Macaca mulatta: one gene and its partners. The protein of the gene in region 1 interacts with the protein of each later gene in a pairwise test. Links are inferred from orthologs where the notes say so. Each region holds a gene or a part of one and is shown in the gene's direction. Other genes may lie near its edges.

Region 1 (4,255 bases):
ACAACATAGCAGTTGGATGTATAGTTGCAGAATATCCGAGGATCTGGGCTTCCTGACTCAAGGTTTCGTATTGTAACACCGTGTTTCTTGATCATCCTCAAGTAAAGGGACTAAAAGGGTGAAAAGGTCTAGTGTCCTTTGATATTTACTGTGCTTTTGAATGTGCCCCATTAAATAATCAAATTATGAGTATATTTTTACAGTACTAACTTAGAGGCTGGCCAGCATAACTAAGTATCAAGGAAACATGCTTAATACTTTTGTACCCAATAGAATTTTTATATTGTTATGTTTAGGTCATACATCTGGCATTAAAAATTCCCTTGTATCTTCCCATTAGGTGGTCGCTCTCGTTACCGGACCACTTCTTCAGCCAACAATCCCAATCTGATGTATCAGGATGAATGTGACCGAAGGCTTCGAGGAGTCAAGGATGGTGGCCGGAGAGACTCTGCAAGCTATCGGGATCGTAGTGAAACCGATAGAGCTGGTTATGCTAATGGCAGTGGCTATGGAAGTCCAAATTCTGCCTTTGGAGCACAAGCAGGCCAATACACCTATGGCCAAGGCACCTATGGGGCAGCTGCTTATGGCACCAGTAGCTATACGGCTCAAGAATATGGTGCTGGCACTTACGGAGCTAGTAGCACCACCTCAACTGGGAGAAGTTCGCAGAGCTCTAGCCAGCAGTTTAGTGGGATAGGCCGGTCTGGGCAGCAGCCACAGCCACTGATGTCACAACAGTTTGCACAGCCTCCGGGAGCTACCAATATGATAGGTTACATGGGGCAGACTGCCTACCAATACCCTCCTCCTCCTCCCCCTCCTCCTCCTTCACGTAAATGAAACCACTCAAGTGGTAGTGACTCCAGCAGACTTAAATTACATTTTAAGGAACACTCTTTCCTTTTTTTTCCTCTTCCCCTTTTCTTTTTTTCTTTTTTTTTTCCCCTTTTTCTTTTCTCTTTTTTTTTTTTATTAATTTTTCTCCCCAACCATCGTGATTTGTCTTTTCATGCAGATTAGCTAGAATTCACTGCCAGGTTTCTTCTGCCCGCCAAAATGATCCAGTCTGTAATAACATTTTGTAAAAAAAAAAAAAAAAAAAAATACATATATATATATATATAGCTGACTGGAAGAGATTAATTTCTTCCCCCAACTTCTTGCATGTTGAAGATATTCGAGCTATTTTTCATCTTAAAGAGTAAGGTATTAGGCCCTTTTGTGGGAGCCCATCTTTTGTTTTTTTCTGAGTTGGTGGGGAGGGAGGGAGGGAGGGGGAGGGCTGAATCGTTTTGCAGAGGAAGATGGCATCTGTGCTTTAAATTTCTCATTACTGGGTTAGAAAACAAACAGGGATTTCCCTGCACATTTTCTTTTGTGCTTTTAAATGTTTCTCAAGTTGGAACAGGTTTCCTCAGGCCTGTTTTGACTGATTGCTTGAGTGCATTTGACAGTTAAAAATCACTAATTGGTTTTATCTCCCTTTACACTCTGCCTTTCCCCCGCCCCCATTACTGAAAAATAACCATTTTAGTGTCAGGTTAGAAATTGAAATGCGGAGTCTTGTGTATCCTTTAAATTAAAAACCACAAGTGTTTATTGCAGTGGTTTAACTGTAGCATCTCAGCATCTGGGTGGAAGCTGCCTATATTTCCCGGTAAAACTGGGGACCATCTGTGAAATTAATTTTCCAGCCAGACAGCTGCTGTGAGCAAATGAACATAAAAATGCTCACTGGAAACTAACCAGTTTTTATATTGACCTGCAGTGTAAAAAGCACATTTAATTATAAACAATATATTCAAAATGGGCAGATTTTCTTTTGAAATGCAGTGTAGAGCTAGAATAAAAACAACTCTTTGCCAGCTACTCTGCCCTTTTGGCAAAGTTACCTTGAACAAAGAATCTTCAGGGTTTATTAAGAACTCTTATTTTCTTCATACCCTGTTCTCTGCAGTGCTTTCTAACAGCTTCTGGGTGCAGATTTTCTTCGGCATCCTTTTGCACTCAGCTTATTACAGGTAGGTAGTGCTTAAGAAAAGTCATGGAGGACTAAAGCCTAAGTCCTTTTCACTTTTCCTCCATCTGAAGGTAGGTGAGTTCATCCTCTTCATAGTAATGCTGTTTTACCAAGACTTTTTATATAGCAGATGAACCCAGAAAGAATTTTCTGCTATTGTGTTCACTACAACAGGGTAGAGACATCAGACAGCCCCAGAAACCCCTTTCAGATCTGATATGGGACTATTAATTTTTATGCTGTTAATTTGTATTCATTCACAATGCAGTTTAAGGCGGAAGGCTCCACTGCATTCTTTGGCTAAGGCTTGAATGCTTGCTGATTTGTAAGATCTATGTTCGAGGTTTTTGTTTTCCTTTTAAAATTCTTTAGGGAGAGAGGGATGGTTTCTGAGGGGTTCTGAAAGTATGAGTCAATGTGCAACATACAGGTAGGTCTTCAGCATAAGCTGAAATGTATGCATGTAAAAACTTTGACATCTTTTTTTTAATTTTCCACTTTCTTCTTTCTTAACTTTACTTCTCTTTTTGTCCCCCCCATCTTATAGAAGTTGAGGCCAAGGGAGGATGGTAGGCACAGACGAAACGTGGCAAACTGCTCTGTGCTTTCAAACCAAAGTGTTCCCCCCTACCCCAAATTTGTCTAAGCACTGGCCAGTCTGTTGTGGGCATTGTTTTCTACAACCAAATTCTGGGTTTTTTTCTTCTTTCTTTAAACATAGAGGTTCCACCACAAGGGATGCCCTACTCTCTCGCAGCTCTTGAAAGCATCTGTTTGAGGGAAAGGTCTCTGCAAGCAAGTGGTTATTTGGATTGCTTGCTTCCCTTTTTCCACCTGGGACATTGTAATCACAAAATAACAGTAAAACCTTAAAAGCTATTATGGCCTGAGCACAGCTGAAATCTAGCAGAGTTTAACTCTTCTGCCTCCATGTCTGTCACTCATAATTCAGGTTCTGCTGTTGGCTTCAGAACATGAGCAGAAGAATCATTTTATGCTAGTTATTGCATTCATGGTTGAAACTCAACTTAGGGAAAGGGTTTCAATGTATTAAGCAATGGGCTGCTTCTCCCCCAATCCTCCCTAACAATTCGTTGTGTGGACTTCTCATCTAAAAGGTTAGTGGCTTTTGCTTGGGATCAGTGCTCTCTATTCATGTTCTTGCTGGTCTCCAAACATTCCTGTTGCATTAAGACTTGAAAGATTTGTAGATGTGTGATGTTCAGGCACAGGATGCTGAAAGCTATGTTACTATTCTTAGTTTGTAAATTGTCCTTTTGATACCATCTTGTTTTCTTTTTGTAGGTATAAATAAAAACACTGTTGACAATAAGGTGTAAGGTTTTATTGCTTAAAAATTCTTTGAATAGTTCAATGTAGACATCTTAAAACAGTTTTTGTTTCAAGACAAAGGTGGGGAATATTGGATTGACTGATTAGCACCTAAAACTGAAAGGAAAGTAGAATTGATTAAACTTAATACAAGAGTTGGAATCGAAAACCCTAGCAGGATACCTAGTAGGTAAGGGTTTGGATGTATCTGTATCTGCTTATAAGTAAAACAGTGATTGCGCAAATGGTACTCACCTAAGTACCATTAGGTTATTGGTATTAAGGTACTAAGTGCAAGGCAGGTATCAGTCACTGGTTTGAAAAAATTCAAACCAGTAAAAGATGAGGCACAAAACTCTTCCAGCCAAACCTGGTAAATTTGGTTTGCTTCTGTCCTGAAGGCAGTATGAAAGTGAAATACGTTTCACACTTAAAACTGTCACCTTTATATCTTGACCACCTAAATTTGGTCACCTACCTGGAAAGTGGAAATTCACAAGAGCGTACTCTAATATTTTAACTGGTCTTTAGTTGGGACATTCTTAAGAGGAGGGACATTGTTCCAGATTGGAGTTGACTTCCTCATCATGAGTCTTGCCCTCGGGCCTTGGAGAGCAATCATTTATTTGATCTTTTTCGTCGGTAAGGCACCTTAAGGTTTCTTGTTGCAGTCATTTTGAGGCACCGTATTTGTGCAGTTGGCCCAGGTTTTTATGACCTTACAATGAGTCTTTAAGGGCAGTCTGTTGATGAGAAGGTCTTCTGGGTGGGGTGATGAAGTTTTGCTGAAATCCACACTAAGCATTTTTTCTGGTTTTAACATTTGATCCCAGATTATGGATAAGTTGCCAAAGAACATTCAAAATAGTTTCCTTCATGTGCTTGTTAAAGGTGTAG
Region 2 (4,989 bases), on another chromosome or scaffold:
AATAAAATGCATTTAGGATGCAGAATAGAAGGTCACTACTCTCAAAGCATTTGTCATTTAAAGGAAAGTCATACTTTATTATGTTTTCAGAAAAATTAATATAATTTCATTTTCAACACTAGCAAAAAGGAGGCAGCTGCCTTTGATACACGACGCATTAGGTGGGCCATTTCACTAATTACCTGATTTTAGAAAACGCCAAAGGCTATAGAGGCCTATTAATGGTTCAGCTGAATCTCTGCAGATGTGTTTGTTTTCTAAATCCTTTGCCAGTAAGTAATTCCCATGAGGACTCTTTTAGTCTATACTGACAAAATTATTAATATGCTGTTGATGCCAGACTGCGTTTGTTATAGCTGATTCTCCCATCCAAGTACAAGAAATGTATTGAAATAAAAACTGCTCAGCCTATCTTAATAATATTAGCTACAGGAAAAATTTTAGCTACATGAAAGACTTTAATATTTCCAACAAACAGTTTGTTTTCTCTTTCTCTTCTCGCATTGTTTTTCAAAACGAGTTGCAAAACTATGACCACTAATATGGTGTTAAGAAGAAAAAAAAACAAGTTGCAAAATATTACAACTTAGTTCATCTTCAAAATTCAAGATTATTTTCTTTTTTATGTTTTACCTGGTTTATCAGCTTTAACCTACCAGATCTTGTCATTGCTTTCCGACACTGAAATTCAATCTAAAATCAAATCAAGAATTTCCTAACACAAAGGTAAGTTTAGGTATAGGACCGATCATATTACCTTCAAGGGCAGTTTAAAGATTCTGCCAAAAATTAATATGTATCTCCAACAATATTTTGAAATATTTATAACTGGTGGTAAGAATAGACTTCCTACAAGGGATAGTCTGGTTAAGATTAGAAATAACCAAGCGTACCCTCTAAGATAGTTTTTTAAATGTTTAAACTTACCTTTAAGGGAAATAAGTGGGGGCTGACTCAGGGAAAGAGGGGATAGTAGGTAAGGAAAGGGCAAAGGCTAGAGTTAAGTGAATAATCCTGTACGTAGAGTGACATCATAGAGGACTTTTGGCTGGTGAATAGACCAGTAGGGAATACGGCCAATATATATCAACCTTGCCACTCATAAACTTAAAACCGACTGCATATGTATCCCCGTATTTCTTCTTCAGAACACTACTAATAAATAAATAATAAATCACCGCCCGTATAAGCAATTTGCGACTCTAATACGGGTGCTGATTTATTTGTTCAGGTGGTCTACAAATGTTCTGTTCTGCGCGTCTATTAAATTTCCACACGTACCAGACGCCCACATGGGATAACCTGATGCTTACAAAGCGGATTAAACTCAGTAGCAAATGTTATCTGGGTATTCGTTTACAAACGGAGACACCCCTAAAGGATCGCACCTGCTTGCGTCATAAGAAACATAAAAATCCAAAAACTAACGTAATTCCAAGAGACACAAAACGCGGAACGCTTCTGCATCTGCAGAAAGTACCGTTCTCGGACAGGTCAACGCATTACGCCCCCAGCAACTAGGTCAGAACGCCTCCAACTTGAGAGACAGGACCGTCAGCCAATCAGATAGCAGCTATCTTCTTTCAATTCCTATTGTACTAGATGAGCGCAATGAGGCGGGCTCTTAGCCGACAACCAACCAATGGAGTATTGTATGGGACCGGAAGAGACTCTGGTCCTGGAATTCTTGAGTATTCTCTATGGTTCTAGGGCCGAGCTGCGCTAAGAGACAGCGGGACAGAGGAATGGGAAATGACGTAAGGATTGCGGAGGGGCGCGAGGTTTCAAGATGGCGGTAGCTGAGGGGTAGACCGAGAGGCCGAGTTGAAGGCCCTTACGAAGTGAAAGAGGCCGGGAATCGCCCCCTGCCCGCTTCTCGTAGTCCTGGGAGCACAGCAGAAGTGTGAGTGTATGGAGTTGCTCTACTTCTTTTCCTCATCTCTTTCGTCCCTTCCACGGCCCGCGCAGTGGCTTGGGGGACACCCAGTCCCTTTGCCCCGCTCCTCCTCTCCCCGGCTGGGGTCTCCCGGTTGCGGACTGGGGTATTCCAGGGCCTGGGGTGGCGCGGCGACCAGTGGTTACGCGGTTGGCATCGCCCGGGGCGGTTGGGGCCGCTTCCTATGCACGTTGATTGGTAGCCTTAGGTTTGACGTCTTGTACCTCGAGTCATGGTCGGTCAACCGTCACTATGGTTTCGGCAGTTGCTGGTGTTGCCTCCTTTGGTGGACCTGGACCCTATCCCATTGAAGGTTTTTTGGCTATTTACAGTTCCCCAACGGTTATTTGGCTTGATTTTTCCAGTCGCCCCCGCTTGTAGACAAAAAACTAATCTTTGCAGACTTAAGCTCCCGTATCTTCCGTAAAATTCTCTGTAATTCGTATCCGTTGTGTTTCATTTGTGGGGGAGGAGATTCAGAACATGAGCCCGCTTGAGAAAGGAAAGCACGAAAAACGCAGGCAATCAAAGATGGGAGAGCTTGTATTTGTACGAATTTTGCATGTTTTCTTCCTTCCCTACCTCCTACTCCCTGCTGCTCTCCCACCCACACCTCCACCCCCCAGTTTTTCTGAGAAGGAAACCACTTGACAGGGTGTATGGTAGCTAGGGCAGGAATATGGATCCATTATAAAGATTATAGTTAAATAGTGAGTCAAACATCACAAGATATTTTATTTGTAATCCCGTTGTATCATCAGAGCTTTGTTATAAAGTAATTGATGTCCCCATTTTTTAGATGAGGAAGCTAAAAATCAGAGCCTTTGACACCACCGTCTTGAAGTAATTGCCACCAGAACAGCTATGAAACATCTAGCTTTCTGAAACATCTGGCTTTCGGGGCAATTGGACACTTGGCGAAAGACACATTAACTGTAACAAACTGGTCTGAAAATCTTCCCTTTCTTCCCTTTAAAAAGTGTCTACTTGCAAAAGGAAACAAATTTGTCCACCTTTGTTACTGGAAAGAATGCTTCAAAAAATTAAGCCCCATTCTTTTGGAATAAGAGGAAGAAGTCATGTAATAGGGTATTGTGTTAATAAAAGTTTTAGCTTACAAAATATTTTTTCCTCAAACAAGAATAAGTATTCCCTTTAGTTACCTTAAGAAATATATATTGGGAGTCAGGTATTAGAAAAATATGTGTCTTAATATTTAAATTTTGGGGAGCTCTCAGTGTAGCACTAATTTCAAATACTTGCATTTTTAGTTGTGTTTTGAACTCTTGAGAGTCAAGCATTATATCTGAATTAAATATGCTTAAATGAATGAGTTTTTAGTGTCTTAGAAGTGTTGAGAATGTACAGCATACATGCCAAGAAAAACCATGGAGCGAGGCAAGGGTGAGGTGTTTGTTTTGAGCCTAGATCCATTACCCCCATTCCGTTCGTATTCTTCTTTTACAATTACGTGTTAATAAAGGGAGGTTATAGAAGAAGGACTAATGAATTCTGATGTTCATGGTTTGTGCCATATCGTTAAAGCATTTTCTAGTTGTTTTTTTATCAGTTGACAAAGTCAGTGCTGTGATCCATAAGAAAAAAGATAAAGTAATGACTTGAGGATATTCAAAGTGGTCTTCACACTCATCACATTTCCAAAGAATGATGGAGATCTAAATTTTCATGGTAAAGAAACTTAATGCCATCTTTCTTGGACATTAAAGTCAAAACTAAGGAAAGAACAGTCTCACAGAATTTCTAATTAAAGGAATTTTTTTTTCAGAGATTGGTAGGGACTAGAAAAAGGAAGAAATAAATTTAGGAGATATAAGCTATTTCTTTGTCTTCACCTTCACAGGTTTTTCTTTTTTTAATGAACAAGTAAACCATACAAATTGTCAACATGGGACGGAGATCTACATCATCCACCAAGAGTGGAAAATTTATGAACCCCACAGACCAAGCCCGTAAGTGTCCATTAGTGTGGAATGATGAAGTAGGAGAGTGTTAAAAATTGCACATATTAGGGAATTTATTTCTCTGTGGCTTAATTACAAGACCAGCAGTGATAGGAGGAATAAATTGTATATTCAGTGTTTGGATGGGAACATTAAGACGTTAAACATGCAAATAAATTAGTACCCATATTTTAGTTTTCAGATTTGATTGACTTGCAAAGTAGAATTGGCTGAAAGTTTTCTTTTTGTATTTGAAATTTTGAGCAAATTAGTTTTGCGAGCCCTTGTTTCGCATTTTATGTTATCTTTTTCTTTCAGATTCATAGTTGTTTTTTATGGAACATTAAACAAAAATGTCTTGACATTTTTGGTTGTCATAATTAGAGGGATGCTCTTGGCATGTAGTGGATAGAGGCCAAAGATGCTGCTGTTTTACAGTGCATACTGTAACTTCCCACAATAAAGAATTACCTGTATGAAATTGAAGGAAATGCTAATGTTCAAGATTCAAAAATTTTATTATATCTCCCTCTCTCCTTTTAAAGGAAAGGAAGCCCGGAAGAGAGAATTAAAGAAGGTATGATTTCAGAGGCATCTTATAAAACTTTTAAGTACTATTTGGCACATCTTGTGGTTTGGGATTAGTGGGTTTCAGAATAACATTTCTAATATTTTCTAGAAAAGGTGCTTTATGCTTTTTATAAAAACTGTAAGATATACTAAGCCAAACTTTACTATATTTAGGAACTGAAGTAACTTTGCAGAGAAGCTCACTACAAGTTATAATGCCATTTTTGATTACTTTTCCAGTGAGTTAAAAAATACTTTGGAAAATAATTCTTTTTTGTTATTTATTAAAACATAACTTTTAAAATCTACCAATGAGGATGGAAATAAACATGATGCTAGATCACTTTATCCATTTTCCTGATTAACTATTATGTATATTACATTAGCTTAAATATATATATTGGCTTATAATATTTATAAATATATTACCTTTCTTTTCCTGATTAGCATTTTCCTCTTAGCTGTTGAATTTGTGGTAAAGTACTTCAACAGAGTAAGAAAGGATTTGCTTTATAGTATTGT
Region 3 (5,062 bases), on another chromosome or scaffold:
CAGGTTTAAAGTGTTGTGGGGGTTCCAACATCTTTTATATTTATTTTAAAAAACCACAGCAGAGGGGTTGTACACCCTTTCATGTTTCTTGACTATTTGGATTTATTCTTCTGAGACATGTCCATTCCTATTTTTTGTTCCTTTTCTATTGTTTCTGCCTTTTTTCTAATTAGTTTTTAAGATTTCTTTGTATATTATAGATATTGGCTCTTTATCATGTATGGCAAATATTTTTTCCTCATCTATCATTGTCTGTTGACTTTTATCACAGTGTTAAGTTTTGGGGTAATCAAGTATATCTTTTCATAGTTTGAGGTTCCTGTCTTTGCAGTCCCTCAATCCCTAGATTACCCTAGATTACTCTTATATAGTCTCCTAAATTATATTCTAAATGTCTTGTTGTTTAAATTTAAGATTCTACACCATTTATCAACTAAATCATCTTTTCCTGATTGAAATAAAATACCACCTTTGTGGTATTTCCGGATTCTGTTGCACTAATGTGTCTTTCCTACCAACAATATTATATTGTTTTATTATTGTGGTTTTTTTGTTTTTGAGACGGAGTCTCATTCTGTTGCCCAGGCTGGAGAACAGTGGAGCGATCTCAGCTCACTGCACCTCCGCCTCCCGGGTTCAAGCAATTCTCCTGCCTCAGCCTCCTGAGAACCTGGGATTACAGGCGCCTGCCACCATGCTGGGCTAATTTTTGTACTTTTAGTAGAGACAGGGTTGTCACTGTGTTGGTCAGGTTGGTCTCGAACTCCTGACCTCAGGTGATCCACCCACCTTGGCCTCCCAAAGTGCTGGGATTACAGGTGTCAGCCACCGCACTGGCCTGTTTTGTTTTATATACTATGTTTGTCATCTGGAAAGGCAAGCTCCTGCTCAATCTTGTAAAGTTTTCCCACTACTGTAGTATTTTTTTTTTGAGACAGTCTTGTTCTGTCACCCAGGCTGAAGTACAGTGGCCGGATCTAGGAACACTGCAATCTCCGCCTCTCAGCTTCAAGTGATTCTCTTGCCTCAGCCTCCCGAGTAGCTGGGATTGCAGGCGTGCACCACCACGCCCAGCTAATTTTTGTATTTTTTAGTAGAGAAGGGGTTTCACCATATTCGTCAGGCTGGTCTCGAACTCCTGACCTTGTGATCCGCCCGCCTCGGCCTGTCAAAGTGCTGGGATTACGCGTGAGCCACCGCCGCCCGGCCGTAGTTATTGTTTTATATGATTTTAAGATCATTTAATTAAATCCTCTGAACTCCGTTAAGATTCCGATAGAAGTGTGTATTTGTAACTTTTGAATTGACAACCTTGTTATCTTTCATTTAATTTGTTGTTGCATCACTTCAAATACTGTTTTTAATCCTTCAGTAAGTCTTCTCTATTCATAGCTTTTTGGGTCTTTGATTTAAAAAAAACAGGAAGTCTCTTTACCTGCGGCGTAACGGAGCCGGTTTTCCGGCGCCCATCAGCCCCTCCCGTACTCCCGCCCCAAGGTTCCGCGTTACCATGGGAACAAAGGTTGACGTCACTTAGGGCTTCCATGCTGGACCCGAGGGTCGATGGTGAAGGGAGACTAGCGGAGAGGGCGGTGTTGCTCTATATACGCATGCGCACTTCATGCTCCAGGATTCCCCCGCCATAAATCTCGTTCCGGCTGGGCCTTTTCCGCCGCGACTTCTCGCTTAATCCCGGAGAAACTGCCCCCTGAGGGAGGAGAGTAGAAAAAAGCTGGAACCAGCGACAGCCAATCCCGTGACACTACGACGCACGCGAAATTGATTGACTCCACCGCCGCAGCCAATGAGAGAGCTCGTCGACGCTCCGTCACAGAGTTCGCCCCACCCCATCCCCTCCTTTCTGGACTCCGAGCTCAGTTCACGCAGTAACAAATGAAGTGCGCGCTGCGACACCTCCCAGCCCACCGGACTCCGCCGCCATTTCCTCGCCTGGCCTAACGGTTCGGCCAATCCCAGCGCTCATCAAGAAGGACTGAGGCTCCGCCAATCGGAGGCCCCCGATTTCGACCCTTCGCTTCGGCCCGGCCCAATCCAGTCCCCGGTCCCGCCGCCCCCGGCCCGCCCCCGCGGCGGCCTTTCTCCTCCCTCTTTGTGCGTCTCGCGCCGCCGCCGCCCGCCGCGTGAAAGGACGGGCTCCGCGCGCTCCGGCAGCGCAGTCGGGTCCCCTCCCCCCGGGAGGCTTGCGAAGAAGCCGCCGCCGACGAAAAGCAGCTGCCGGTGCCTGTCCCCGGGGGCGCCATGGCGACCGGAGCGAACGCCACGCCGTTGGGTAAGCTGGGCCCCCCCGGGCTCCCCCCGCTTCCCGGACCCAAAGGGGGCTTCGAGCCGGGCCCTCCGCCTGCACCCGGGCCTGGGGCGGGGCTGCTGGCTCCCGGGCCGCCGCCGCCCCCGCCCGTGAGCTCGATGGGGGCCCTGACCGCGGCCTTCCCCTTCGCGGCGTTGCCTCCGCCGCCTCCGCCGCCGCCCCCTCCGCCTCCCCAGCAGCCGCCGCCGCCTCCACCTCCACCGTCCCCCGGCGCCTCGTACCCGCCGCCGCAGCCGCCCCCTCCGCCGCCGCTCTACCAGCGCGTCTCGCCGCCGCAGCCGCCGCCACCCCAGCCGCCGCGTAAGGACCAGCAGCCGGGCCCGGCCGGCGGCGGAGGAGGTGAGTCGGGCCGAAAGAGCGCGAGAGGCGTCGCGCGGACGGGCCCGGCCGCCTGAGGGGCGCGCGGCGGCGGCGACGGCGGCTGCACGCGGCAGGGGCGCGCGCGCGCGCGCGCACGGGGAGGCCCGGGCGGAGGCGCCCCGGGGCGCGCGCGGCCTGGTTCTAGGGCCTCGAGTGCGCACGCGCGCTGTTGGGGAGGGTTGGGCGGGCGGGAGGCGCTCTGTGCGCAGACGCAGTGAGGTGGTTGGGCTGTGCGGCGCAGTTCTATAGACTCGGGGCCCCCTATTGCCCTTCAGTCCGCTGATGTTCAGCACTGGACGGGGTGCTGGTTGTGAATGCCAGCAGGGCGTGAAAGCCTCACCTGATGATGTGCGGCGGCTCCTTTCTGGTCTTGAGCCAGAATGGGAACCATACCAAGGATAGCTGCTCTGCTTGTATAGCAAGGCAGGGTTTTCATCCGGGAGAGGTTGGCATGCTTCAGGTGATGGTTGGGTCTGATCGTTTTTGGTCTCTTTTGGGGAGAGAACTCTAGTTTTTTAATCTCCGTTCAGTATCCTTAGATCTCAGTCTGACCGGCTCTCCTGTCACTTTGTTTTAAAAAGTTTTTCCTTCTGATCGTGTATCGCCTGGGAAATAGAAGGACTCTTGTGCTAAACGTAGGGAGTTTCTGCCTGTGTATGGGGGAAGGACAACTTGGCTGCTATTGTATAGGTTGTTGTTTGTTGAATTTTTGATAGATCCTTTTAAAAGTTCAGACTCTGAGTGTCCAACTGGCCAGGAAAATTGAATGCTGATCTTGGCCAAACTTACGAAGACAAAAGTGATCTTGTTGAAGAATTGGGCTTTTCCCACTCGGTAGGGTATAACTAGGTTTAGCTCTCCTCCTGCCTCTTAAGTGACTGGTGAGGGGAGTGGAGGTGGGCGGAGCCCCCAGTCCCATCAGGGCTGCTTTACAAACCTATGATTCTTCAATGTATTTGTGTCTCCCCTGGGGATTTCAGAGCACTCATGGTTGATGTAGTATATATCTAACACTCTCTGCAGTCGTATACATTAAGATTACCATGTTTACATATTTGACAGTTTCTCTAGACAAAAGAAGGTGAAATGTTAACTTGCCTGACCCAGGACCACATACCCTTGTAGTGTCCATAAGCTTTAAATCTCTGATCTCTGAGGTTTGTTTTCTGGTTTTTTGCTGTTTAAGTTTTAGGTTAAGCTCTCAGTTTCGCAATCTGCTGAGTTTCTGTGTAGTACCTTAAATACCCTTGACTGTCTGTTGGTAACTATTTATATTTACATCTGATGGGCTTTGTCTCTGCCTTTAGACTTCCCAAGTAAGAAGCGGAAGAGGAGCCGCTGGAACCAAGACACAATGGAACAGAAGACAGTGATTCCGGGAATGCCTACAGTTATTCCCCCTGGACTTACTCGAGAACAAGAAAGAGCTTATATAGGTAAATATACGTTCTGCATCCAAATGCACTTTGAGATTGTTACGATTTATTCTGAGCAAGATCTGCATTTCTTGAAAGTTTGAGATTGTAGTTATCTTTTTTGAGATGAGATATTTTCATGACTTTGGTATCATCTGTCAGTTTTTGCCCAGTGAGTTCTGCATTTGCAGCTCCTTGTTTTGGTCTGTTCATAACTGCAGTGTTCTCCATGAGTGTCAGGAAGGTAGGGTCTCACTTAGGGGTAAAAACAGTCCCCAGACCAGCAGCCCACCCTTTTCAGCTGCTGCTGTTCATTGCCAGTTGATGAGGTGAGTGTCATCTGCCTCTCTGGACAGGCCCCAGTGGAGAACACCACAGGTACTGTAAACCAAGTACTTTTCACAGCATGGCCTTTCACCATAATTTCATATTTCTCCCCCTAAAATGTGGTCTTTTACTTTTTATAGGTACTTTCTGAAAGAAAAAAAAAACTGACAAAAAGTGGTTCTGAAAGTGTGTTTACAATTTATCCCTTTTTATTTTCTTGAATTTAAGAATTTAACCTTCCCTTCAACATCTTTTCTGGTTTGGTTTATGGAGAGCTGTCTTAAAATGAAGGCTCTTGTATTTACTCTTAACTCTGCTGGGAAAGGGATATTGCATGGATATGGAATGAAGTGCTAGGATAAAAAGGTTTTATCTGCTGGGAGGTTTTGAGAATTAAGAATGACTGTCCACAGTGGAATTGAAATTAACTTCAAAATTGCTTTTTTGAAAAAAAGTTTTTAATGAAAGTTTTACCTTTTAAAGCTGTCTCAAAAAAGTTCACTTGATAAACATTTTCTACTAACTAAACAAACATCCCCTTTGGAGGAAATTCGGGCAAAGACCTCCTAAGCCTACGAGGCTGTGGCCTTCACAACCAAAACGCTTCAAGGCCAGCATGTTACTACTCTTGAGG
Region 4 (5,092 bases), on another chromosome or scaffold:
CATCAAGCTCTCCGGTATTTGAAGTGGCAAGCCACTAAGCTTGGCATGCCTCTGGTGCATGTTCACACAGACTGGGTGTCTGCTTGTCTCCCTGAATTATTTCTCTCAAATCTTGTGCTCCCTCAACCCCTATCATGAGGTCTGGAAAACTACTGATTTGGTCATTATCTTTTTCTTTGATCAGTGAGTCACCTTAGCAGGTCAATTTAGGTTAAAAAGTCACTCTAGTGCCTGGTTTATTATCTCAATTGACTGTTATATTGAGTAATTAGATAATGGCTTAACTTCAATTTCCATTTGTGGTCTATTAATATAACCCTGAAACATTTAAACCCAGGTAAAACTTTTTCTTTTATTTCATGCTTTTACAAATAATATGTTCATGTATTTTTTATCCTCCAGCATCCAGATTTTTATCTTTAAATACCATTTCCCACTAAAAGGAACCAGAGCTCTCTGGAGAAATGGCTGACTCCACAACTGGGGCAGGAAATGTATATCAGGTAAGTCTGCAGAAAACAATGGAGAAAGGAAGAGTGGGAAGAGTGATGCAGATGAAACAAGATTGACATGATTTGATAATTGTTGAAGTAGGGTGTTGGGTACACGTGGGAGTTCTTTATTCTTTTATGTATTTTAAACTTTTTCCATAAAAATAGTTTAAGGAAAGTTAAAAATGTTATTTTCTAAACTGAAGGAGTAATAGCGCGCCCTTTGTAGAAACAAAAGATTTCTACAAAGAAAAGTGAAGTCTCCCTCCGACTCCAGATCCTTACACCCCTCCTCAGGGCAATCCTAGGAACAATTTCCCACGTAGTTGTCAAGAAAGTTTCCACGAAAATATTTTTAAATGTACATACTCATAAAATACAAATATTTTTAAAACCACAAATGGTAGCGTATTATACACGTTATTTTATGCCTTCTGAAGTTTTATTTCCTATTTTAATACAATGAATATGTCTACACATTACAATATTGTGGATTTTTATGCTTTACAATTGAGCTTCTTCCTTCAAGTTTCTTTGATTTATTCAAGAGATAAAAGGCCTACAGCTTCATATTCCTCAGGATTATTTACAAAAAGAAGGATGGCTCAGCCAAGGCTAAATTTAGGTTACAGTTCCTAATATTAACAGTTTTCAAGTTTAGGTTTCAGCTTTTGGGACATTATTGTTATCCTGAAAAATGTCATGTTTAAAAACACCTCACACCTCTACTATAGATTGGATCTTGGGAAATAGGGTTGAGGACGGGATCAATATAACCTCCGCCCCGGCGCATACCCGGGAGAGCTGCAGACGGTCTAAAGGATGTGGTGACCTCAGCGCTGCGTCCCTGCAGCAACCGGCGAGTGCTGGGGCACAGGCCATATCCCCCTAAGCTCGGCATCGCCTGCACCTCTCACAGGTGCTCTGTCCGCCACAGTAACGCTCTATGGAAATTAAAGTTGTAAGGCGAACGACAGAAGGAGCCAAACGAAGTGGATCCGGAGCGGCCACAAGGTGCCTGTGCTGCTGGCTTTTAACACACAAAAAGAGGAGTGCCAAGGAATACAAGAAGCCACAGGGGGAATAAAAAGCGACATATCTGCATGGAGCCTAAATTTCGCTCGATGATTTTCAGGGAAGAAGCATTACATATTAAAAACAAACATTGCTATTTTACGGGAATACCGGATTTAAAAATCCACACAGATTCGCAACATAAAACAGGCAGCCCAAAGACACGTCCGCGGTGTCCTGACAGTTCCGGCTCCGCCCGCGGGCCACGAGGCGGGGATCGACGGTCACTCCCCTCGGTTGCCCAGAGTACTTGGGCGGCAACGGGGAGCGCCGGGGGGAGACAAGCTCCTGGGCTAGGGCTGCGTCTCAGCCACCTTACTTAGCTCTCGAGGTCCCGCGTGTTACGTGTTAGCACCGCCCCGGGGCGTCAGCGTGACCCGGGGCTGCAGGAACCGTGAACTCCCTGCCCCGCGGGCCCAGGTGACCGCGGGCATCGCTATCCCGCGCGCGGGGGGCGGGGCTTCCCCCGGCTGTACACTCAGCTACCACAGCGACATAAGATGGTGTCCGCTAGGCGTCCCAGGACGGCTTCCTAAGGGACTGGAGGGCCCCGACAGCCGGAGAGTCTGCCCCGCCCCTTGGCCGGCACAGGTAGGACGGCGGGGAGCTCAGAAGTTTCGAACTCCAAGGGCCGAAGCACAGCCAAATACCCCACGGAACTTAACAAATGTTTGTGGGGAGAACGCCAAAAACGCGGGGAGGCGGGGCTGGCGCACAGTCACCCTCTCGCGACATCTAAGTGACGTCGCATAGCAAGCACGTGTTCTAGTCTTTCACCTTCAGTCAGCCTCCTCCGTTATATGGGCCTACCCCTTTAAGCGAGTGATGGACAGTTACTTCAGCCTATCAACTTCCTTGCAGACATCCAATCAGATTTAAACTTCTTTTAGCCGCCGGAGGAGTTGGAAAAAGGGGGTCGAAAGAGGGAGCTCACCGTCTCTCGCGATATCGCTGTGAGCCTGCCTCTCGAAAAAACGCCGAAACTTGGCCCCACCTCCCAAATAGTGGTTTAAAGGACGGGTTTATAAGCCAATGAAAGGGATGAGGAGGCGGGGTTGCTGCTTTCACTGAGCAAGAAGTACCGTTACAGGGCAGACTTTTTGTCCAATCAACACAGCTACACTTTGGGTCACGTGACCGCAGAGTGCGAGGGGCGGAGCTACAGCCTGGCGCGAGGAACCGTTAAGATAGACAACAAATGTAACCAATGAGGTACTCTGACTAGGGGGTTGGGAACCCAATAACAGTGGTTGGGCGGGCGCCTTCCTGGAGCGCGGGGAGATGTAAAGATAGACAAATAATTTTCCCAATGAGACTGTAGAAGAGAGAGCTAATTGGCCAATGAGGACTGCGGGGCGGGACCCTGTGCCGCGGCGGAGTCCAAGATGGCGGCGTGCGGTTCCGCTGTGTGAAACGAGCGCGGGGCGGCGGGTTGATCAGCTCCGCGGAGACGACCTCCGAGGACCCGCAACAATGAAGGGAAAAGAGCGCTCGCCAGTCAAGGCCAAACGCTCCCGTGGTGGTGAGGACTCGACTTCCCGCGGAGAGCGGAGCAAGAAGTTAGGGGGCTCTGGTGGCAGCAATGGGAGCAGCAGCGGAAAGACCGATAGCGGCGGCGGGTCGCGGCGGAGTCTCCACCTGGACAAGTCCAGCAGTCGAGGTGGCAGCCGCGAGTATGACACCGGTGGGGGCAGCTCCAGTAGCCGCTTGCATAGTTATAGCTCCCCGAGCACCAAAAATTCTTCGGGCGGGGGCGAGTCGCGCAGCAGCTCCCGGGGTGGAGGCGGGGAGTCACGTTCCTCTGGGGCCGCCTCCTCAGCTCCCGGCGGCGGGGACGGCGCGGAATACAAGACTCTGAAGATAAGCGAGTTGGGGTCCCAGCTTAGTGACGAAGCGGTGGAGGACGGCCTGTTTCATGAGTTCAAACGTTTCGGTGATGTAAGTGTCAAAATCAGTCATCTGTCGGGTTCTGGCAGCGGGGATGAGCGGGTAGCCTTTGTGAACTTCCGGCGGCCAGAGGACGCGCGGGCGGCCAAGCATGCCAGAGGCCGCCTGGTGCTCTATGACCGGCCTCTGAAGATAGAAGCTGTGTATGTGAGCCGGCGCCGCAGCCGCTCCCCTTTAGACAAAGATACTTATCCTCCTTCAGCCAGCGTGGTCGGGGCCTCTGTAGGTGGTCACCGGCACCCCCCTGGAGGTGGTGGAGGCCAGAGATCACTTTCCCCTGGTGGCGCTGCTTTAGGATACAGAGACTACCGGCTGCAGCAGTTGGCTCTTGGCCGCCTGCCCCCTCCACCTCCGCCACCATTGCCTCGAGAGCTGGAGAGAGAAAGAGACTACCCGTTCTATGAGAGAGTGCGCCCTGCATACAGTCTTGAGCCAAGGGTGGGAGCTGGAGCAGGTGCTGCTCCTTTCAGAGAAGTGGATGAGATTTCACCCGAGGATGATCAGCGAGCTAACCGGACGCTTTTCTTGGGCAACCTAGACATCACTGTAACGGAGAATGATCTAAGAAGGGCGTTTGATCGCTTTGGAGTCATCACAGAAGTAGATATCAAGAGGCCTTCTCGCGGCCAGACTAGTACTTACGGCTTTCTCAAATTTGAGAACTTAGATATGTCTCACCGGGCCAAATTAGCAATGTCCGGCAAAATTATAATTCGGAATCCTATCAAAATTGGTTATGGTAAAGCTACACCTACCACCCGCCTCTGGGTGGGAGGCCTGGGACCTTGGGTTCCTCTTGCTGCCCTGGCACGAGAATTTGATCGATTTGGCACCATACGCACCATAGACTACCGAAAAGGTGATAGTTGGGCATATATCCAGTATGAAAGCCTGGATGCAGCGCATGCTGCCTGGACCCATATGCGGGGCTTCCCACTTGGTGGCCCAGATCGACGCCTTAGAGTAGACTTTGCCGACACCGAACATCGTTACCAGCAGCAGTATCTGCAGCCTCTGCCCTTGACTCATTATGAGCTGGTGACAGATGCTTTTGGACATCGGGCACCTGACCCTTTGAGGGGTGCTCGGGATAGGACACCACCCTTACTATACAGAGATCGTGATAGGGACCTTTATCCTGACTCTGATTGGGTGCCACCCCCACCCCCAGTCCGAGAACGCAGCACTCGGACTGCAGCTACTTCTGTGCCTGCTTACGAGCCACTGGATAGCCTTGATCGCAGGCGGGATGGTTGGTCCTTGGACCGGGACAGAGGTGATCGAGATCTGCCCAGCAGCAGAGACCAGCCTAGGAAGCGAAGGCTGCCTGAGGAGAGTGGAGGACGTCATCTGGATAGGTCTCCTGAGAGTGACCGCCCACGAAAACGTCACTGCGCTCCTTCTCCTGACCGCAGTCCAGAATTGAGCAGTAGCCGGGATCGTTACAACAGCGACAATGATCGATCTTCCCGTCTTCTCTTGGAAAGGCCCTCTCCAATCAGAGACAGACGAGGTAGTTTGGAGAAGAGCCAGGGTGACAAGCGAGACCGTAAAAACTCTGCATCAGCTGAACGAGATAG
Region 5 (3,244 bases), on another chromosome or scaffold:
TAGATGAACAAATGAGTAGGAAACACAGGAAGAAAGTAGTTAGGGTGGAGACGTTGAGATGTTTGGACCATACTCTAGTTGGGTACTGAAACAAGCAGTCTATGCTGGAGGTAGAGATTTGGGTGGATCCCTGTAGAGATGGTGACTCAAGTCAAGCAAGTATAATACGATTGGGTAGGTGAGAAGGTCCCTGGGGAATACCATAGTGTAAGGGCCAGCAGAGGGGAAGAAAAAAGGGGGAAAGCACAGAGGGAGAAGTAGGATCCTTCTTCCAATGTTTTCCCCGCTAACTCTACCCCACCTCCCTTTCCCACTAGCGCGGCCATGCTGAAAATTGCTGAGATGGAATACAGTGGTGCCAACAGCATCTTCCTGCGACTGCTGCTGGATAAGAAGTATGCACTGCCTTACCGGGTGCTGGATGCCCTAGTCTTCCACTTCCTGGGGTTCCGGACAGAGAAGCGTGAACTGCCTGTGCTCTGGCACCAGTGCCTCCTGACTTTGGTCCAGCGCTACAAGGCCGACTTGGCCACAGACCAGAAAGAGGCCCTCTTAGAACTGCTCCGGCTGCAGCCCCATCCACAGCTATCCCCCGAAATCAGGCGTGAGCTTCAGAGCGCAGTCCCCCGAGATGTGGAAGATGTTCCCATCACCATGGACAACTGAGAAAACAGTCAGTTGTCCTGGCCAAAGGGGTTTGGAAGGACACCAAGACCCCCGTTGGTGACTGAAGATGACACCAAACCTTAATGGCTAAAGACCCAGATCAGGGCAGTGACAGATCACAGGAACATCTGTGGCTTCCAGTCCAGGACAGGAAGGACTGAGGGTCTGGCTGGTTCCCTCTTCCATTCTAGGCCCTTACCCCTGTTCAGTTCTGAGAGCCGACTTAATACCATACACTGGCATTCCCAGTCCCCAGCTGGGGCTTGGTGTGAGTACTTTTTCTATGGCTATTGTGTCAGGTCACTGTGGATAAAGGCAAAGGCAGGTATTTATTGAACCTCTGTGTTTGGTGTAGTAAATGGAGGTGGGCATTACTCCTGTTAGTATCTGGAAGATGGAGGACATTCTTGTCCCGTTTATATAGGAGCCACCTCCCTTGATCTCCAAGCTTGTTTCTCCAGGCTACACTCACCTTGTTAGCCACCTGGGGACACATCCTCTGCCTTCTCCCATGACAGGCTGCAGCAGCCAGGAGCAGGTTGTCCAAAGATGGTCATGTGTCAGCTGTGGATGAAAGGACTACAAGAGAAAACTTGAGGAAAGCAGAGATACAGTCAAGAAAGGCCAGAGAATAAGGCTGGGCCCAAGAAGAGTTAGATCAGAGCTAGCATCAAACAGGCTCCCTTTCTGGCTTTTCAGCCAATGAAAGCTTTAGTGACTAGTAAACTACGGCCAAGTGCCCCTTTTTTTGTTGATTTATTTTTTGAGACAGAATCTCGCTCTGTTGCCCAGGCTGGAGTACAGTGGCATGATCTTGGCTCACTGCAGCCTCCGCCTCCTGGGTTCGATAGATTCTCTTGCCTCAGCCTCCTGAGTAGCTGAGACTACGGGTGCGTGCCACCACGCCTGGCTAATTTTTAAATTTTTAGTAGAGATGGGGTTTCACCAGGTTGGCCGGGCTGGTCTCGAACTCCTGACCTCAGGTGATCCACCCGCCTCAGCCTCCCAAAGTGCTGGGATGACAGGCGTGAGCCACCGCACCCAGCCCAAGTGCCTGTTTTTGTGTGGCCCATGAGCTAAGAATGATTTTTCCATTTTTAAATGGGGAAAAAAATTAACAGTATTTTGTGATAGGTAGGAATTACATGAAATTCCAGTTTCAGCATCCATAATTTTGTTGGAACAGCCATGCTCACCCATTTACATGTTTCATGTGGCTGCTTTTGTGCTACAACAGCAGAGTTAAGTATAATCCTGCTATAACCCTTATTTGCTTCCAAAATTGTGCATTTGTTCCAACCCATTTAATATATTTGGGAACAGTTTGATCATAACGCAGGCTTAATGTTTGCTTGTGTATGATTTCATCCTCGAGAAACATTAGGTGAATATGGGAAACTGTACCCAGCTGAACCAAGCCTAACTAGTACACAAAACTCACACTTGAACATGTACCAGCTACCTCACTTAGCTGCCCACCTGTGTTGAGCAACCCTTCCAACATCCACTTCCAAAAGCAAAGTGCATGTCTTCAAGATAAAAGGCCGTATTTATTGTAATATTTATGTATTTCTCAACCATTTGACATGTAAAAACCAAGCTATCCTTTTTTTAACATGTGTCACTCATTTGAGTGTTGTGCTTCAAGCCCCATTTTTCCCATGAGACCTGTGGTTTTTATTGTGCAAATTGCATGGCATAGTGATTTTCAGGAACACATAGGTCACATTATAAAGCAGAACTGATTATATTTGGGTCAGAGACCATATAGCCCGCAAAGCCTAACTATCCAGCCCTTTACAGAAAAGGCTCAATGATCCCTGCTTTAGACCACTGGCTTCCGCCTCCTTACCTCATACAGTCCAGAAATAGACTTAACCCACACACCAATCCAAGAAGCCAAAGCCAGTTTTATTTCACAATCTTTATTACAGTAGGATGATGGTCCTGGGCCACCAGCCTAAACCTTGTGGCCTTAGGAAAGACCTGTGTCAACAGGGCTTCCTCCCTCTCTAGACAGGGGCTCAGCCACCTCCAGGGCATCCCTGTTGCATTTTCTCTGCTGGAGGATGGGGCAGAGGGACAACAGGAGAGGAGGGCATGACCCCACCCCAGGCTGTAGCAGCTCCTTGGCCACAATGATCCTTTTGCCAGTAGCAGAAGGGAGGAAAACAGCAACCACCAGGGTTACCACCACTTGTGGGATGGCCAGGACCCCGTTATGTCCTCTTACAGTTGTGCTCAAAGCAATTAATAAATTAAAATGAGCCTTCAGCAGCAAAGCTGTCAATCACACAGAAGCTGAGCAGAAAACAAAGCAAAGAGGAATTTATAGCTTCTCTGGCTGAGGCCTAGGCCCCTCCCTCTAGGAGCAGCTGTCAGCACGGATTATATAGGGGCCTCCAAAGTACTGAGGAGTCATCTAGACTATTCCCCCTCATATGTGTCTATCATGCATGAAATTTCAGAGGGACCCCAATCCAAATGCAATAACCCTAGAAGGGGCAACACCTTTAGAAGGCACTAGAGCATTTTGGCAGTTGAAAACAGCCCCCAGGGGTGGGGGGCGCTCAAAAGG

What was found.
Region 2: the proteins of DDX17 (region 1) and WBP11 interact in a two-hybrid assay, tested with the Homo sapiens proteins (3 studies listed by BioGRID and IntAct). The link is inferred for Macaca mulatta from reciprocal best matches to the Homo sapiens genes DDX17 and WBP11.
Region 3: the proteins of DDX17 (region 1) and SF1 interact in binary tests that used the Homo sapiens proteins (3 or more experiments, as listed by UniProt). The link is inferred for Macaca mulatta from reciprocal best matches to the Homo sapiens genes DDX17 and SF1.
Region 4: the proteins of DDX17 (region 1) and RBM15 interact in binary tests that used the Homo sapiens proteins (3 or more experiments, as listed by UniProt). The link is inferred for Macaca mulatta from reciprocal best matches to the Homo sapiens genes DDX17 and RBM15.
Region 5: the proteins of DDX17 (region 1) and BYSL interact in binary tests that used the Homo sapiens proteins (3 or more experiments, as listed by UniProt). The two-hybrid records come from large-scale screens. The link is inferred for Macaca mulatta from reciprocal best matches to the Homo sapiens genes DDX17 and BYSL.

Annotation. Positions count from the first base shown.
Region 1 is NC_133415.1:13,048,662-13,052,916, forward strand, and holds the end of DDX17 (probable ATP-dependent RNA helicase DDX17 precursor), read left to right. Parts: intron 1-340; coding exon 341-846; 3' UTR 847-3,359; downstream 3,360-4,255. UniProt on the Homo sapiens protein: As an RNA helicase, unwinds RNA and alters RNA structures through ATP binding and hydrolysis.
Region 2 is NC_133416.1:17,239,135-17,244,123, reverse strand, and holds the start of WBP11 (WW domain-binding protein 11), read left to right. Parts: upstream 1-1,794; 5' UTR 1,795-1,903; intron 1,904-3,797; 5' UTR 3,798-3,842; coding exon 3,843-3,906; intron 3,907-4,442; coding exon 4,443-4,474; intron 4,475-4,989. UniProt on the Homo sapiens protein: Activates pre-mRNA splicing. May inhibit PP1 phosphatase activity.
Region 3 is NC_133419.1:9,618,330-9,623,391, forward strand, and holds the start of SF1 (splicing factor 1), read left to right. Parts: upstream 1-1,885; 5' UTR 1,886-2,259; coding exon 2,260-2,665; intron 2,666-2,886; exon of another isoform or gene 2,887-3,146; intron 3,147-3,993; coding exon 3,994-4,122; exon of another isoform or gene 4,123-4,614; intron 4,615-5,062. UniProt on the Homo sapiens protein: Necessary for the ATP-dependent first step of spliceosome assembly. Binds to the intron branch point sequence (BPS) 5'-UACUAAC-3' of the pre-mRNA. May act as transcription repressor.
Region 4 is NC_133406.1:129,853,924-129,859,015, reverse strand, and holds the start of RBM15 (RNA-binding protein 15), read left to right. Parts: upstream 1-2,035; 5' UTR 2,036-2,906; coding exon 2,907-5,092. UniProt on the Homo sapiens protein: RNA-binding protein that acts as a key regulator of N6-methyladenosine (m6A) methylation of RNAs, thereby regulating different processes, such as hematopoietic cell homeostasis, alternative splicing of mRNAs and X chromosome inactivation mediated by Xist RNA.
Region 5 is NC_133409.1:140,238,618-140,241,861, reverse strand, and holds the end of BYSL (bystin), read left to right. Parts: intron 1-317; coding exon 318-666; 3' UTR 667-2,281; downstream 2,282-3,244. UniProt on the Homo sapiens protein: Required for processing of 20S pre-rRNA precursor and biogenesis of 40S ribosomal subunits. May be required for trophinin-dependent regulation of cell adhesion during implantation of human embryos.